4 linked regions of the Cricetulus griseus genome follow. The protein of the gene in region 1 purifies or fractionates together with the protein of each later gene. This does not show direct contact. Links are inferred from orthologs where the notes say so. Each region holds a gene or a part of one and is shown in the gene's direction. Other genes may lie near its edges. The genes, in order: Xrn2, Cdkn2aipnl, Cdkn2aip and importin subunit alpha-5.

Region 1 (3,801 bases):
CCAGGCTGGAGATGTAGTTTAATGGTAGATTTACCTGCACATGGGGTACGTTGGGTTCTGTCCCAAGCACTGCCTGAAAACAAACAAAAAGGCCATTAACTAGAAAATACTTGACAAGTTGTGCTACTTCTGTGTGTATGATATGTTTCTATAAATATGTGTTTCCCTCCTTTTTTAGCCCAGCCTAACCATGACCCAAATACTCATCATTGTTTATGTGGAGCTGATGGTATGTTTCTTCTTGAGGATTTACTGTTCTTGGATTAAACCAGAGTATGTTGGTGGGTTGTTGTGTGGTGGGTATTTCAGGTTTGGTTGACAGTTCCTAGATGTCTTGCCTAAGTTTAAAAGGAACCACTATTAATTTGCTGTTACACTGTGGTCAGTGATCACATGAATTTTGATCTTTTTGTTTTGTTTTGTTTTTTCAAACTTTAGGTAGCACGTTGCTGACTTTACAATGGGCAGTTTCCCACATGTAATCCCGAGTTGTGGTTTATTGTCGGTCAATGTCTCTGAATGACTTTGTAGGCAGAACTACTACTGGGATGACTTTCTGAGTTTTGCTGCCCATGCTTTTTGTTTAGTGGGCCTTTTTCTTGTGTCATTGTTTAGTAGTGTTTTGATTATGGTTAAGTAAAGGATTCTTCCAAAGTACCATTCACTTGTTTTTTTTCTTATTGATTGATAGCTGATCTCATTATGCTTGGTCTTGCTACACATGAACCTAACTTCACCATAATCAGAGAAGAATTCAAACCAAACAAACCCAAACCATGTGCTCTTTGTAATCAGTTTGGACATGAGGTTAAGGATTGTGAAGGTTTGCCAAGAGAAAAGAAGGGAAAGGTAAGAACTTTAAGATGGATAGTACTGCATTTGAAAATATGTACACTGCCATAAAGTATACTGTTTAATCTTTTTAAAATGTACAGTTTATCATCAAGTCTATTCAGACTGCCTCATAAAAGTATTTCATAGAAATGCAGCTTTTAAAGTAATGTGAAATAAATCTGTAATATAATTTTTGTTTCTGTGAAGGTAAGTTCTTGTAGATGACAATGCCCAGTGTATGTGAATTGTTTATGGAAGGTATTTCAAATGATTACTATTTATTTAAAGGAACTACAAATCAAATATATTAAATACCATGGCACTGTTATGTTTTGTTTTTGTTTTTTTTTTTTTTTTTCATTTATTTGAGCTCACTTGGTTGGAGAAAAAGTGAAAAAAAAAAAAACAGATGAACTATATGATTTTAGACAGAAGATAGAATAAATGAAGTATATGTGTATCCAAGAAGGGACCAGAGGAATATACAACAAAATACTAATATTGATTGGACGTAGGTGATGAAAGGCAAACATGTCTTTCATGTGGACCTATGAGTTAAGAATGTTTTATTTTATTTTATTTTATTTAAAAGGTTTTATTTTAAGTTGTATGTGTGGGTGTGGTACTCTGGAGCTGGAGTTACAGGTTATTGTGGACATCCTGATATGGGTGCTGTAAACTGTGAGTCCACTGAAAGAACATCAAATACTCCTAAATCACTGATCTCCAGCTGCTTTTACATTTTTAAGGGTTTTAAAAGTATTCTAGAACGTGAAAGAATATTCATCTGTATGTGTCTCCCCAAAGGGAAAATATGCATTCCTGGCCCTTCATACCAAATAATTGCTTATCTCTGGTCTAGATGTGATTATTTTAAAATGATTTGGTGAACTTTTTAAATTTAGTACTTAAATATTAAATGGGGTCTTACATTAGAAAATCCCTACAATTTGTGTGGCTAGAAAAAATTGCAGGGTTTAGGTTGGGCATAATCTGCACTGTCTTTCTTGCAGCATGATGAACTTGCAGATAGTCTTCCTTGTGCAGAAGGGGAGTTTATCTTCATTCGGCTGAATGTCCTTCGAGAGGTATGTTTCATTGGCTATTGGAACTGCACTCCTCAAACATGTTCTTTTCATTGCTTTGATGTCAGCATTCTTTTTTGGTTGTAGTATCTGGAAAGAGAACTCACCATGGCCAGCTTACCATTCCCATTTGATGTGGAGAGGAGCATTGATGACTGGGTGTTCATGTGCTTCTTTGTGGGGAATGATTTCCTTCCTCACTTGCCGTCATTAGAGATTAGGTATGTGTATCTGTGGGATGTTCCAATGACTGTCTCAGCCTTCTTGACTTTACAGAGCCCACTGATCCTAATGAATAATGTTTGTCTCCTGGTGGCAGGGAAGGTGCAATTGATCGTTTGGTTAACATATACAAAAACGTGGTACACAAAACTGGGGTAAGTTTATTTTTGAGTAATTTAAAAGCAGGTGTATTTGGTTTTCTATGAACATTATTTTACATGTATTTTATCACTTACAGGGTTACCTTACAGAAAGTGGTTATGTCAATCTGCAAAGAGTACAGATGATCATGTTAGCAGTTGGTGAAGTTGAGGATAGCATTTTTAAAAAGAGAAAAGATGATGAGGTAAATACATTGCAGTAGCTAAAATTGCTACTCTCATAGGCTGTGATGTACTTTTTAACTTGTCCGTGTTGTAATACCACTGTAATGTGTTGCTTATATAATCCTAAGCTTGGTACTTGGCTGTTTTATAAAGGCTGTGATGATTGCTGTATGGAACTGTGTATTGTACATTATTTGAGTTGTATTGCAGTTTTTCTCTTCCTAATCTTACTTAGGATATAAATCTAAAACTAGCCAAAACATGACTGCCATGTTTTATACTCTAGAAAACAGGGTAAGGCCTAGGAAGTGTGTATTCTAGGAGTCTGAGTTGGATGGCATCAGCTAGGGCAGAACGATGGAAGAATGTAGGCTTTGTGGAGGGTGGTAACTTCTAAGTAAGTTGAAACATAGAGGAAGGAACTGAAGTAACAAGGCACTTGGAAGTTGATTATATGATTATATAGAGAAGTCCAAATTTCTATCCTAGTCAGTTCAGTGTTTGTTGAGTCCATTCACTGAGATAGTAAATACTATGGGTTATAGGAGATTGGAGTAAGAGACCAGATACAAATTGAAGTAATTTTGGAGATGAGTATGAGGGGATTACAGGATGCCTGACATGGGGAAAGTCTTGAAGACAATTTTAGAACCTTGGTTGATGGGAGGAGGTACTTGAAGCCTTGAGTAGGAATGTGAGAGTCTATGGGAGCTTATGTGGAATGAAAGTGTTCTATGAGAGCTTGGGAAACATTGACCATTAATAAGAAAGAGTTTTTATACCTTTGGAGGTTTCATAGCCTCATCCTTGGGTATACTTTGTTAATCCCCTCTCCTGATCAGGTGTGGTGGTACATACTTTTAATTCCAGCAGAAGCAGATGGATGGATCTGTGAGTTCCAGGACAGCCTGGGCTACATAAGGAAACTGTCCTGAAAAACAACAAAACCCCAATCCTGGAAGAAAGCACCAATTGCAGATCTAATTAAAGTTTTCCATTGCGTTTGGCAGAATGCACTTAGGGTAGGCACCAGTACTGCTGGCTTCTGTTTTAGGACATGGGTGTGCAAACCTGTGGAATGGACCATTGTTAATGAGGAACAATATCAGCCCCAAATCCTGGAGAGGTGAAATTATGGCTGCCCTTTGAGACCTGTGCATTAACTTGGCCAAGAATAAACAGTAAATCTGAATTCCCTTTTTTCTGTTGATAGCTTTTTGGAAGCTAGGGCTTAGTGTTTGTGGAATCCCACTTCTTTCTTGCTTGCCATTCATGCTAGGAGTGGTTAGCCTTTAGTAATGTAACTGAGTATCTTTTTTTTTTTTTCCCCTGGT
Region 2 (4,365 bases), on another chromosome or scaffold:
CCACTGAAGTTAGAATCAGAATTACCTAGAACCTTGACTCTGAGTATCCAGGGGTTTACCTGGGAATCTGCCACTGCAATAAGCTTGTCAGGGCATGCCACCTGCACTTTGGGAACTCAACTCTGGTTGCTGTTATCATTAGATCCCTGAACCCTGGGGAGAAGTTGCTTCTGTCTTTGGGTTCTCATGTTTGGTTCGGATGCTCCCTGCCAGAGTGTGAATACCATGACTTCCTGACATGATGGGATGTCACACAGCATGGTGCTTGTCCTTACAGCGCTCTTCCATTTGTGTACTGGATGCCATTTCTACCTGCTGGGGTCCTAACACCACAATAGAAGCTGCAGAAGGGAGGAAAACAGTTGTAAGCCACCCTAGGCTATGTGGTGTAAGACCCTGGCGGATAATGAAGGGACCATTCACCACTTACAACCTTCACTGGAGCTCAAGATCCCGGGCTCTAGGCTCTTTCTTCTGTACCCAACTGTCCATATTTTCAAATTTATTTATCTGTTCTCCCTCCCTCCCTCCCTCCCTCCCTCCCTCCCCCTCCTCCCTCCCTCCCTCCCCCCCTCCCTCTCTCTCTCTCTCTCTCTCTCTCTCTCTCTCTGTGTGTGTGTGTGTGTGTGTATACACATACAACACTACTAGCATACAGTGGTCAAAGGACGATTTTCAGGAGTTGGTTTTCTCCTTCCACTATGTGAGTTCCAAAGACTGAACTCAGGTGCTCTTCACTTAATTCCCCACCACCACCTCCATACCTTGCTTCCTCAGGTTTGTGGCAATCTGACTTCTTTTATGATTCGTCAACGTTCCATTTACTTGGGCAATTCTTTCACTGACATCTACTTCCCTCACAAAGTTCTTTAGAGCGGGGCATCCTGGGCACCAAAGTGCCTGGAGGGTACTCATTGGATGGATAACTCTGCAGGAAGTTAGGGCACAACCTGAGACCACAGGGGATCCATAAAACAGGGGACATCACTCTCCGGGGAGATCCACAGAACTTAGGGCAAGCCTCAGCTGTGGCTGAGGATAGAGCGGTGCCTTGGGAACACCCCCGGGCAAAAGGGGTACCACAGAGCCCCAGCGTGCACCCAGCTGCCGACTCGGTGCTTGTGGGCCTCAGTTTCCCCAGCATCTGTCTACACAGTGTACCCTGCATGGGCCCTTGCAGCCCTGGGAACACTAGGCCTCCGTGCCCCTCGAGGGCGCTCCAAGTCAGTCCTCCAGAGCAGTCGCGCCGGGTCGTGGCCGCTCTAGCGGCGTGTCGGCGGCGCGGGGCGTGTCGGGAAGGCGGCGGGCTCGTGCGACCCTCGGTGGCGGCAGCGACGGCGGCGGCGGGAGTCATGGTGGGTGGCGAGGCCAGCGTCTCAGTAGAGGAGCTAGTTTCCGGGGTGCGGCAGGCGGCCGACTTCGCCGAGCAGTTCCGCTCCTATTCGGAGAGCGAGAAGCAATGGAAAGCGCGCATGGAGTTCATCCTGCGCCACTTGCCGGACTACCGAGACCCACCCGACGGCGGCGGCCGCCTGGACCAGCTGCTGTCCCTATCGATGGTCTGGGCCAACCACCTCTTCCTGGGTTGCAGGTGCGGACCCCGCCGGCCGGCTGACCCCATCTGCCCACCCTTAGTCCGGCCCAACCTCCTCCTGCCTTGGCTGATCCCCTCTTAGCATTTCCTCGGGGAAGATGTGTCTCTTCTGTGAGCCTCTCTTTCCTCTGGTAAATGGATGGCTGTGATGACTACAGCAGTTAAATGATGTAGAGTGCAGTGCAGGTAGGCTGGAAGGCGGCTGTATTGCCATGGGCATTTTTTAGTACTGTTTATGAGCCCAGAAGATTGCCTTTGCAGAGTGCTCGAAGCCCATTAGTTCCTGTCACACACAAAAGTGCAGACGGAAACTGAAACTTCCCCCACCTCCTCTAGTTGAAGACACCTAGCAAGAGAGGATGTGATACATCGCACCGTTGGTTGGTGGATTTCACCGCTAAGGCAGGATGTAATCTTTTCCTCTTAATTTTCCTCCTTAAGAAAGTAACGATGCTTTTTTCTTGCTGCTCCAAAGCCCCCCTGAACTTTTGCGATCACACCAGGACGACAAGAGCCTGGCCTTGAGATTTCTGACAAGGCACTTCTTTTACTCCACCGGGAAAATGCACCAGGTTTTTACACTCCCTTATGGTTTTTTGTTTTGTTTTTTTTAAAAATTTTTTAAGGCAATCATCCTTTATAACTAAGGCTGGCCTCCGGTTTTTTATGTAGCCAGGTAGTCCTGGAATTTCATATACTGAGCATGCATCTCCAAGCTCTTATTGGCTTCTACAGTTTCTTGAAGTTGTGTTAAAATAGGATTACCTGACTCAGATCTGATCTTCGTAGCCTAACTGGTCACATGGCCCCTCCAGGACAAACTCCTTGGTTTTCTTTTTGGGTTTTGTGTTAGGCATGAAACCCCAGACTTGCACATATCAAAAATAAGTACTCTACCACTGAGCTATATCTCCAACCCTGAAGGTACTTGGTTTCAGATCTTGACATATTTGTTAGAATAAGATGTGGGGAAGCTGTGCCAGACACACCCATCACACATATATGCTTCACTCTCCCTTCTGCCTTCACCCTCTAAAATTGGAGTTTACAGGAGCCAAGGTCATACAAATAATTGAGAACCAACATTAGACCAACATTCTGTGTGTTTTAAAAATAATCAAATTTTTGGCCCTCAGATCTCATCCATGAATATGTACTACCTGATGTATGCTGCTCCTGTTTTTGTAATTTTATTTATTTACAACTATTTTAAATTTTGTATGTATGGGTGTTTTGTCTACACATCTGTCTGCACTGTGAGTGCCTGATGGTGGTGGAGGCCGGAAGAGGGCATTGGATTCCCTGGAACTGGAATTGCAGATGGTTGTGAGTCACCATGTAGGTGCTGTGAATTGAAACTAGATCCTGGAAGAGCAGCAAGTGCTCTTTGTTTTTTTTGTTTTATTTTTTTGTTTTTTTTTGTTGTTGTTGTTGTTGTTTTCTATCCTGGCACTCTCTCTGGAGACCAGGCTGGCCTCGAACTCACAGAGATCCACCTACCTCTGCCTCCCGAGTGCTGGGATTACAGGCGTGTGCCACCAATGCCCAGCAGCAAGTGCTCTTAACTGCTCCTGTTTTTGTAATGAGAGAGAGAGAGAGACTTTTTATTTATTTTTATTTTATGTGTATTAATAGGTAACAAATATGTACCCAGTATCCTCAGACACTGGAAGAGGGCCTCAGATCTCTGAGAACTGAAACTCTAGCCATGTGGGAACTGAACCCAGGTCCTCTGCAAAGAGCCTTAAGTGCTCCTAGCTGCTGAGCCATCTCTCCAGTCCCTGATTTTATAATTCTTCAAACATCTGCTATATTGGCATTCTTCAAGCCTAGTGCTATATCCACAAGTGGGGAGAGCCACTTGTTAACCATGTGCTGAACAATGTAGTTTTCCCTGCAGTATCAAGTCAGTAACTTGCAAAACTTCAGATAGTGGTGTGTCCCTGTAGTCCCGGTTACCGAGAAGGCTGAAAAGAGCATTGCTTAAACCTCAGATGGCATGGTATGACGTGACCAATGAAAAACAGTTCTGTAGTCTAGAAGTTGCATTTACAGTCTAAGAAACTACACTTTCTTTTTAGTCCATAGTGACAGTGAGTCTTCCCAGGTTTTTACCTTACTGCTTTTTGTTGTGCAGTTACAATAAAGATCTTCTGGACAAGGTGATGGAAATGGCTGATGGGATTGAAGTGGAAGACCTGCCACAGTTTACAACCAGAAGTGAATTAATGAAAAAGGTAATGAGTAGACATGACGGTTCCACTTGGACTCTGGATCGTGTTGTTTTTGAGCCTTCTTAGTTCCTGCTCTACAGTCTTAAGCCCTTCATTATTTCCTCACACTTGGTATAAACCTTCTCATAACTAGATCACAACTCAGCATGACAAATTGTACGTTGTCGGTGGAGGAACACACAGGCTCGATCTCCTTGGTTTGTCTAGGACACTTCTCTTGATGACAGGGAGTGAAGCCAGGTCCTTTATGCTAGATAAACTGGGGATCAGTAAGGAGGAGCCTCAAAAAGCTACAAATATTTTCCGACTGTACTGCTCCTGAAGGACTCTGAGGAAACACAGCACAGAGATTTTATACATCTGTGTTTATTGCCATACTGTGGACATCACTAGAGGAATGGATATAGAAATGCAGTCTATACACATACACAACCAAATTCTGTTGTGCATGAAGAAAAATGCAATTGGATGTTCATGGATAGAAATGGAGACCACTATGTTGTGTGAAATAAGCTAGAATTCAGAAAAACAAGTATC
Region 3 (2,915 bases), on another chromosome or scaffold:
GTTCAGAGGCGAGTGTGTCATCCTCAGTTCCTAAGAACACATCATCCACATCAGGCACCTCTTTACTAACTCCCAAGGGCAGTTCAACCAATGCTTCACTACTGACTTCCAAAAGCACGTCTCAGGTAGCTGCATCACTATTAGCTTCCAAAAGCAGCTCCCAGAGCAGTGGTTCCGTAGCTTCCAAAAGCACTTCCTTAGCAGGCATGTCTCAGCTAGCTTCTAAGAGTAGCTCTCAGAGTAGTACTTCACAGTTGCCTTCTAAAAGTACCTCGCAGTCCAGTGAGAGTTCTGTTAAATTCTCTTGTCGGAAGTTAACCAACGAAGATGTAAAACAGAAGCAACCTTTCTTCAATAGACTGTATAAAACAGTGGCATGGAAGTTAGTAGCTGTTGGTGGCTTTAGCCCCACTGTGAATCATGGAGAGCTGCTAAATGCAGCTATTGAAGCTCTGAAAGCAACACTGGATGTGTTTTTTGTCCCGTTGAAAGAACTGGCAGATCTGCCTCAAAATAAGAGCTCTCAAGAAAGTATTGTTTGTGAATTGAGGTGTAAGTCAGTGTATTTGGGCACCGGCTGTGGAAAAAGCAAAGAAAATGCTAAGGCAGTTGCATCAAGAGAAGCACTGAAGCTATTTCTCAAGAAGAAGGTGGTGGTGAAGATATGCAAAAGGAAGTATAGGGGCAGTGAGGTAGAAGATCTAGTGCTCCTTGATGAAGAGTCGAGACCTCTGAACTTACCTCCAGCATTGAAACATCCTCAAGAATTACTGTAATGTCTCCCAAGTTACTGCTGCATCTAGTACCTGGTGTTTGAAGAGAAAAACTGGCTTTTATATAATATAAAACACTGGCTTTCACAGATTTTGTATTGCTTTTTTTCCAGTTTTGCAGAAAATTAAATTCTAGTTCTCTTCACTAAAGTAGAAGTTGTAAATAATTTATGAATGACAGTACATATTAAAAGGTATACATTGACAGCATACCAGTATGCTGTTTTATTTGCTGAAGAAAATACTGTCTTCTATTTTTAATGACATATTAGGTACGATGTGTAGTTCTGTAGAATCTTAAATTTTTTGTACTACTACCAATTTGGTGGAAATGTATTAAGTTGTCTACCATGCTTTTTTGTTGTACTCTAACTTGATTAAATCCCATCAAAGAAAAGGGGACCACAGTATTTGAATGTGTAAAACAAGGTTTTAAGAATGTTGCTTGTAATGTTGAACATCTGTTAAAGAATAAGAGTAGTTATCTCAAGCTATTTTCATGATAAGTTGTAAACTTTTTGTTTTAAGATACAAAACATTATAAAGTACTTCCTGTTATTTTACTCTGAAGTTGTTTAAAATTCACCATGATTTTGACTGCTGCTGATTGTTAAGCAGGTTAATTTATGTTTTGAGATGAAATGCAATTTACACTTTCTTAAAACATAAATGTGGGTTTCTATATTAAGCATATTTTGTGACTACTAATATTAACATTGATTTGTTTAGATATTAAATGCTTTAAGCTATTTTACCTTTTCAAGAAGTTGTGGTTTTTTTTTCCTCCTCCCTACCCTGAAGTCATAACCCAGTCTTGCAATTTGGCTTCTCACTACTATTCATAGTAAACTACAGTCAAGTAGTTTTCCTAGTAATGCACATGTTTTTATCGGTAGGGAAGTCAAAGTTTATATCTAGAACCAGGTGGTTTTTGTATTTGCAGATTTCAGAAGAATGTGGAGAAGACTAGAGAGCCATGGTCAGTTCTTTAATGGTTATGTTCATGTGAATTGCATCTGTTGTAATGAAGTAGACTCTTGCTTGTGTCTTAGGTGATTCTGTTAATCTAGTATGATTGATTTTTAAAGTCTGGTCTAAGGTATTTGATTACCCTAGTGGCCTTTGGCTTTCTAGGTGATAATGTACAGAAAGGCATCTTATAGTCACTAGCTGTATTGGAATTGGAAGGTTGAAAATAAGCACAATTTAAGTGTGTAAAAATTATTTTGTAGTTTAGAAGTAACAAAGATACTTAGTTTCCTGTGCTTGAACTGAAATAATCAGGGATGTTTGTATTTTGCCAGATAACCTTTTTTAAATTGTTTTTTGGGGGTGGCTCATTGGATATCAGGGCACAATCTTATAGTCTGTAAATGGGCTATCTTTATATATTGTGGGGAGCAATAACATAAGTAAATTGTAAAACACCTTCAAGTTTCTTCTGTGCTGTATTTTGTGAACCAATGCTTACCAGAAAAGTGAGCCAAACATTAGAATAAATACATTTCTGAAATACATCTGATTAGATGATTTGGTAATTTCCTAAAATGGCCGTTTTAAGCAAATTTATAAACGCTGTTATATTGAAAATTTTTTAAGTTACAGTATGCTTTTGACATGGAGTCTGGTCTCATAGGCCTATAATTCCAACGACTTGAGGCTTAGTCAGGTAGAGCTGAAGTTAAAATCCTTGGAGCTTTACAGAACAGTCTGCAGCTCTGTCTGATAATAAAAAGTAAAAAGATCCTGAGATATAAATCCAGTGATATAGCTGATTGTAGTGGCACACACCTTTAATCCCAACACTCAGGAGGCAGAGGCCTGCCTGGTCTACAGAGTGAGTACTAGGACAGCCACGGTTACACAGAAACCTCCCTAGAAGCTCCCAACCCCCACTCCCAGAAAGGTAGGTGATATAGAATGCTTGCTTAGATGAAAAGAAGGCCCTAAGTTGAAGTTGTAGTACCTCCAAACAAAAACAGGTGAAAACTTGATAATATATTTTCTTGGTTTTTGAGAAGGTAAGTGTGTTATGTCCTTGCTGGTCTTGAACTTGCAAAGTATTCCATTCTCTGCTTCCTCAGTGCTGGGGCTACAGATGTGTGTAGCCAGTCTCACATGGTTATATTTACAACAAATCTA
Region 4 (3,801 bases), on another chromosome or scaffold:
GAGCAAATAATTTATTCAGTAGTGAAAGTATAAAATCCGCCATGAAGCTCCACAGCTTCAGAATGGCTGCCCTAACTGTATAGAGGTTCACTAAGATGTATAGACTTCAAATCTGGTTGCTTTTGGTGTATGATGTTTATATTATTTGCAATTTTTTTTAATAATGAAAGTTTATAAAATAAACTCTTAACATTTGTGACAAAATTGTTTTTAGAAAGTTCTATTTACTTTTTTGATTTTCTGTCATATAAGGGCAGAATATTTGTCCCCACTGGCTCTTCAGCCTTTTGCCACATTGGAGATGCAGTAAGAAGGTCTCTTACACCAGGTATTGGTGCTGTAACTGGATTTTCCAGCCTCCAGAACTGGGGGAACTAAATCTCTGCCGCCTCCTCCTCGTCCTCCTCGTCCTCCCCCTCCTTCTCGTCCTCCTCCTTAAATAAACAACACTTTTAGCTTGTAGTTTAGTAGGTAACACGTGGCTTTGTTTTAGTTTTCATTTATTTTATTGTGAAGAATTTTTAATTTTTTCTTTTTAATTTACATAATTAAGATAAACATTTACTCTAGTGTTTTTTGTGTGTGTGGTTTTTTTTTTTTTTTGGTTTTTCCAGACAGGATTTCTCTGTGGCTTTGGAGGCTGTCCTGGAACTAGCTCCTATAGACCAGGGTGGTCTCGAACTCACAGAGATCTGCCTGCTTCTGCCTCCTGAGTGCTGGGATTAAAGGCGTGCGCCACCAACGTCCAGCTTATTCTAGTTTTTTAACATATATTTCATGTATTTTCTTAAATTTATTTTTATTTCATGTGCATTGGTGTTTTGCCTGCATATATATCTGTGTGAGGGTTTGGAGATCTGCCTAAAATTGGAGTAATGAACAGTTGTGAGCTGCCTGGTGGGGTCCTCTGGAAGATGAGCCAGTGCTCTTAACTGCTGAGCTGTGTTTCCAGTCCCGTGCGGGGGCCGCGCCCCCCCCCCCCCCCCCCCCGTGTGTGGTTGTGTGTGTGTGTGTGTGTGTGTGTGTGTGTGTGTGTGTGTGTGTGTGTGTGTGTGTGTGTGTGTGTGTGTGTGTTTCATTTTTTTTGAGACAAGGTTTCCTGTGTGACAGCTGTGGCTATCCTGGAACTCACTCTGTAGACCAAGCTGGCCTCCAACTCACAGAGATCCGCCTGCCTCTGCCTTCCAAGTGCTGGGATTAAAGTCGTGTGCCACCATACTTGGCCCCTATTTGTAGTTGGCTTTTAAAGATTTATTCATTTTATTTTATGTGTGAGTCTTTTGTGTGCATGTGTATATGTGTACAACATGTAAGCTGGGTGCCTATGACGACCAGAGGAAGGCATCAGATCCCCTAGAACTGGAGTTGAGGATGGTTGTGAACCACTATGTGGGTGCTGGAATTGAACCTGGGTCCTCTGCAAGAGCATCAAGCGCTCTTAACCACTGAGCCACCATCTCTCCAGACCATAGTATATTTTTTAATACTAATGTCATTGTAGTTGTGTATTATGGGTTTTGTTCTGTTTGTTTTCTCAAGAGCAGAGTATGACTGAATCTATCAAACTGTGCTTATATTCAAGATCTTCTCATGTTTGACTCCCAAGTGCTTGATTATGTACCACCACACATCCCAGTGCTTGTGAATGTACACAGTGAAACCAGATTCATAGTCTTTAATGTATTTCAGACTAGTACTAAATAGTTTTTAAAGGACTGAAACGTTGTCCCAAATGGTAAAAGCACTTGTCACCAAGCCTGATAGCCTAAGTTTGATTCCTAGGACACATGGTGGAAGGAGAGAACCAACTCCAGCAAATTTTTCTCTGATTTCATGTGTACTATGGTATGCTCAAGTCCAAACACATACATCTTCCCCATGAATAAAGCTATTTTTTTTTTTTTTTTAGAATTCCAGAGTTTTTCTTCTACATTTGTAGTAAAATAAGTTTGTTTTAGGTTTTTTTGTTTGTTTTGTTTTTGAGACAGGGTTTCTCTGTTTTTGAGACAAAAATAAGTTGAGTGAAAAATGCACTTATTACTACCTCTTGGGAGGTGGACAGAAGATGATCCAGGATTTCAAGCTCATCTTCCAGGATGCACTGAGTCCAGCCTGTGCTGTATAAGACCTTTCCTCAACAGAAAAACCAACAAAAATCCAAAACCAAATGATATTTGAAACTATACCGTAAGTAAAACTTAAATTTTTTTTTTTCTTTCAGGTAATTTTGAACTGCTCAGCTCTTCAGAGTTTATTGCATTTGCTGAGTAGCCCAAAGGAATCTATCAAAAAGGAAGCATGTTGGACAATATCTAATATTACAGCTGGAAATAGGGCACAGATCCAGGTAATGCCTTTTTATCCCTGTGTGTGAGATACATTTTCAGAAGATTTTATTTATTTTTATTTATGTGTATGTGCCTGTTTAACTGTGTGTATTATGTGCATGCGGTGCCCTTGGAGACCAGAGGAGGAGGGTATTGGATCTCCTAGAATTGGAGTTATAGGCAGTTGTGAGCCTTCTGTAAGTGCTGGGTATTGAACCTGGATCCTCTGAAAGAGCAGTAAACACCTGAGCTGTCTTCTCCAACCCCTTTTCTATCCTTTCAGTAATAGGTGAAGTTATTTTGGTCAGCCTTTAAAATACAGCCTTCCTTATTTCTTCTAAAACTACCAACGACCAGTGTCAATATATCAGTCTAAGATTATTTTCTTCTAATGTTAGTTTTTGATACTTAGACGATGTATTTTCTTTTTACCTTTTAAGTTTGCTGATTTTACCAAAGATCAAAAAAAAAAAACCTTTGTGTTTTCAGAATGTTTTGGTGGACTATATGCTAAATAAGTTGGCTTTACTTCGTATTAAATTATATTTTCCAGTGAACCCATGTGTTGGGTTGTGTAAATTTTTCATGGACTATTGAAGGCCTTTTTTGTTGTTTGAGACAGGACCTCATTTTGTTGTAACCCCAGCTGGCCTGAAACATACTGTTTAGACTAGACTGTCCTTAGAACTCAAAGAGATCTTTACCTCTTGAGTGCCAGGATTAAACATGTATGCCATCAGGCCCAGGAGGATGTTTTCTTTAACTATGCCCCTTTGGAGAATTTCTCTCTCTCTCTCTCTCTCTCTCTCTCTCTCTCTCTCTCTCTCTCTTCTCTCTCTCTCTCTCTCTCTCTCTCTCTCCTCCCTCCTCCCTCCCTCCCTCCCTCCCTCTGTCTCTCCCTCTGTCTCTCCCCCTCCCCCTCTCCCTCTCTGTCTCTATTTTGATTTTATTTATTATCTATACAATGTTCTGCCTGCATGTATGCCTGCAGGCCAGAAGAGGGCACCAGATCTCATTATAGATGGTTGTGAGCCAACACATGGTTGCTGGGAATTGAACCCAGGACCTCTAGAAGAGCAGTCAGTGCTCTTTACCTCTGAGCCATCTCTCCAGCCCTATTTCTTTTGGATAGAGGAAATTGTACTAACCTGTGTTAGGTTCCTGGGCTAGTTTCAAGCTTGAAGAAGGTATATGAGGAAGACTAGTGATGATATATAAGTGGGACTGAGGAACAGTATGCCATTAATAAGACACCTTGGGGTTTTTGAGACAGGGTTTCAGTGTGTAGCACTGGCTGACCTTTGAAACTCACTGTGTAGACCAGGTTAGCATCAAACTCACAGAGATCTGTTTGCCTCTCCCTCTCGAGTGTTGTGATTAAAGGCATGCATCATTTCCTGGCCCAGGGCATTAAATATATGTCACCTTTATTTATTTATTGTTCGTGTTTGTGTCATGCAAAGGTAGGCACATG

The links.
Region 2: the proteins of Xrn2 (region 1) and Cdkn2aipnl purify together in Homo sapiens (co-immunoprecipitation; 6 studies listed by BioGRID and IntAct, with this or other methods). This does not show direct contact. The link is inferred for Cricetulus griseus from reciprocal best matches to the Homo sapiens genes XRN2 and CDKN2AIPNL.
Region 3: the proteins of Xrn2 (region 1) and Cdkn2aip purify together in Homo sapiens (affinity purification with mass spectrometry; 4 studies listed by BioGRID and IntAct, with this or other methods). This does not show direct contact. The link is inferred for Cricetulus griseus from reciprocal best matches to the Homo sapiens genes XRN2 and CDKN2AIP.
Region 4: the proteins of Xrn2 (region 1) and importin subunit alpha-5 purify together in Homo sapiens (affinity purification with mass spectrometry; 4 studies listed by BioGRID and IntAct, with this or other methods). This does not show direct contact. The link is inferred for Cricetulus griseus from reciprocal best matches to the Homo sapiens genes XRN2 and KPNA1.

What each region holds. Positions count from the first base shown.
Region 1 is NC_048599.1:31,982,314-31,986,114, reverse strand, and holds part of Xrn2 (5'-3' exoribonuclease 2), read left to right. Parts: intron 1-178; coding exon 179-229; intron 230-691; coding exon 692-849; intron 850-1,847; coding exon 1,848-1,922; intron 1,923-2,006; coding exon 2,007-2,140; intron 2,141-2,238; coding exon 2,239-2,296; intron 2,297-2,379; coding exon 2,380-2,487; intron 2,488-3,801. UniProt on the Homo sapiens protein: Possesses 5'->3' exoribonuclease activity. May promote the termination of transcription by RNA polymerase II.
Region 2 is NC_048600.1:66,236,247-66,240,611, forward strand, and holds the start of Cdkn2aipnl (CDKN2AIP N-terminal-like protein), read left to right. Parts: upstream 1-1,280; 5' UTR 1,281-1,352; coding exon 1,353-1,591; intron 1,592-3,731; coding exon 3,732-3,831; intron 3,832-4,365.
Region 3 is NW_023276807.1:39,008,313-39,011,227, forward strand, and holds the end of Cdkn2aip (CDKN2A-interacting protein), read left to right. Parts: coding exon 1-776; 3' UTR 777-2,290; downstream 2,291-2,915. UniProt on the Homo sapiens protein: Regulates DNA damage response in a dose-dependent manner through a number of signaling pathways involved in cell proliferation, apoptosis and senescence.
Region 4 is NC_048597.1:53,645,102-53,648,902, reverse strand, and holds part of importin subunit alpha-5, read left to right. Parts: intron 1-2,221; coding exon 2,222-2,347; intron 2,348-3,801. UniProt on the Homo sapiens protein: Functions in nuclear protein import as an adapter protein for nuclear receptor KPNB1. Binds specifically and directly to substrates containing either a simple or bipartite NLS motif.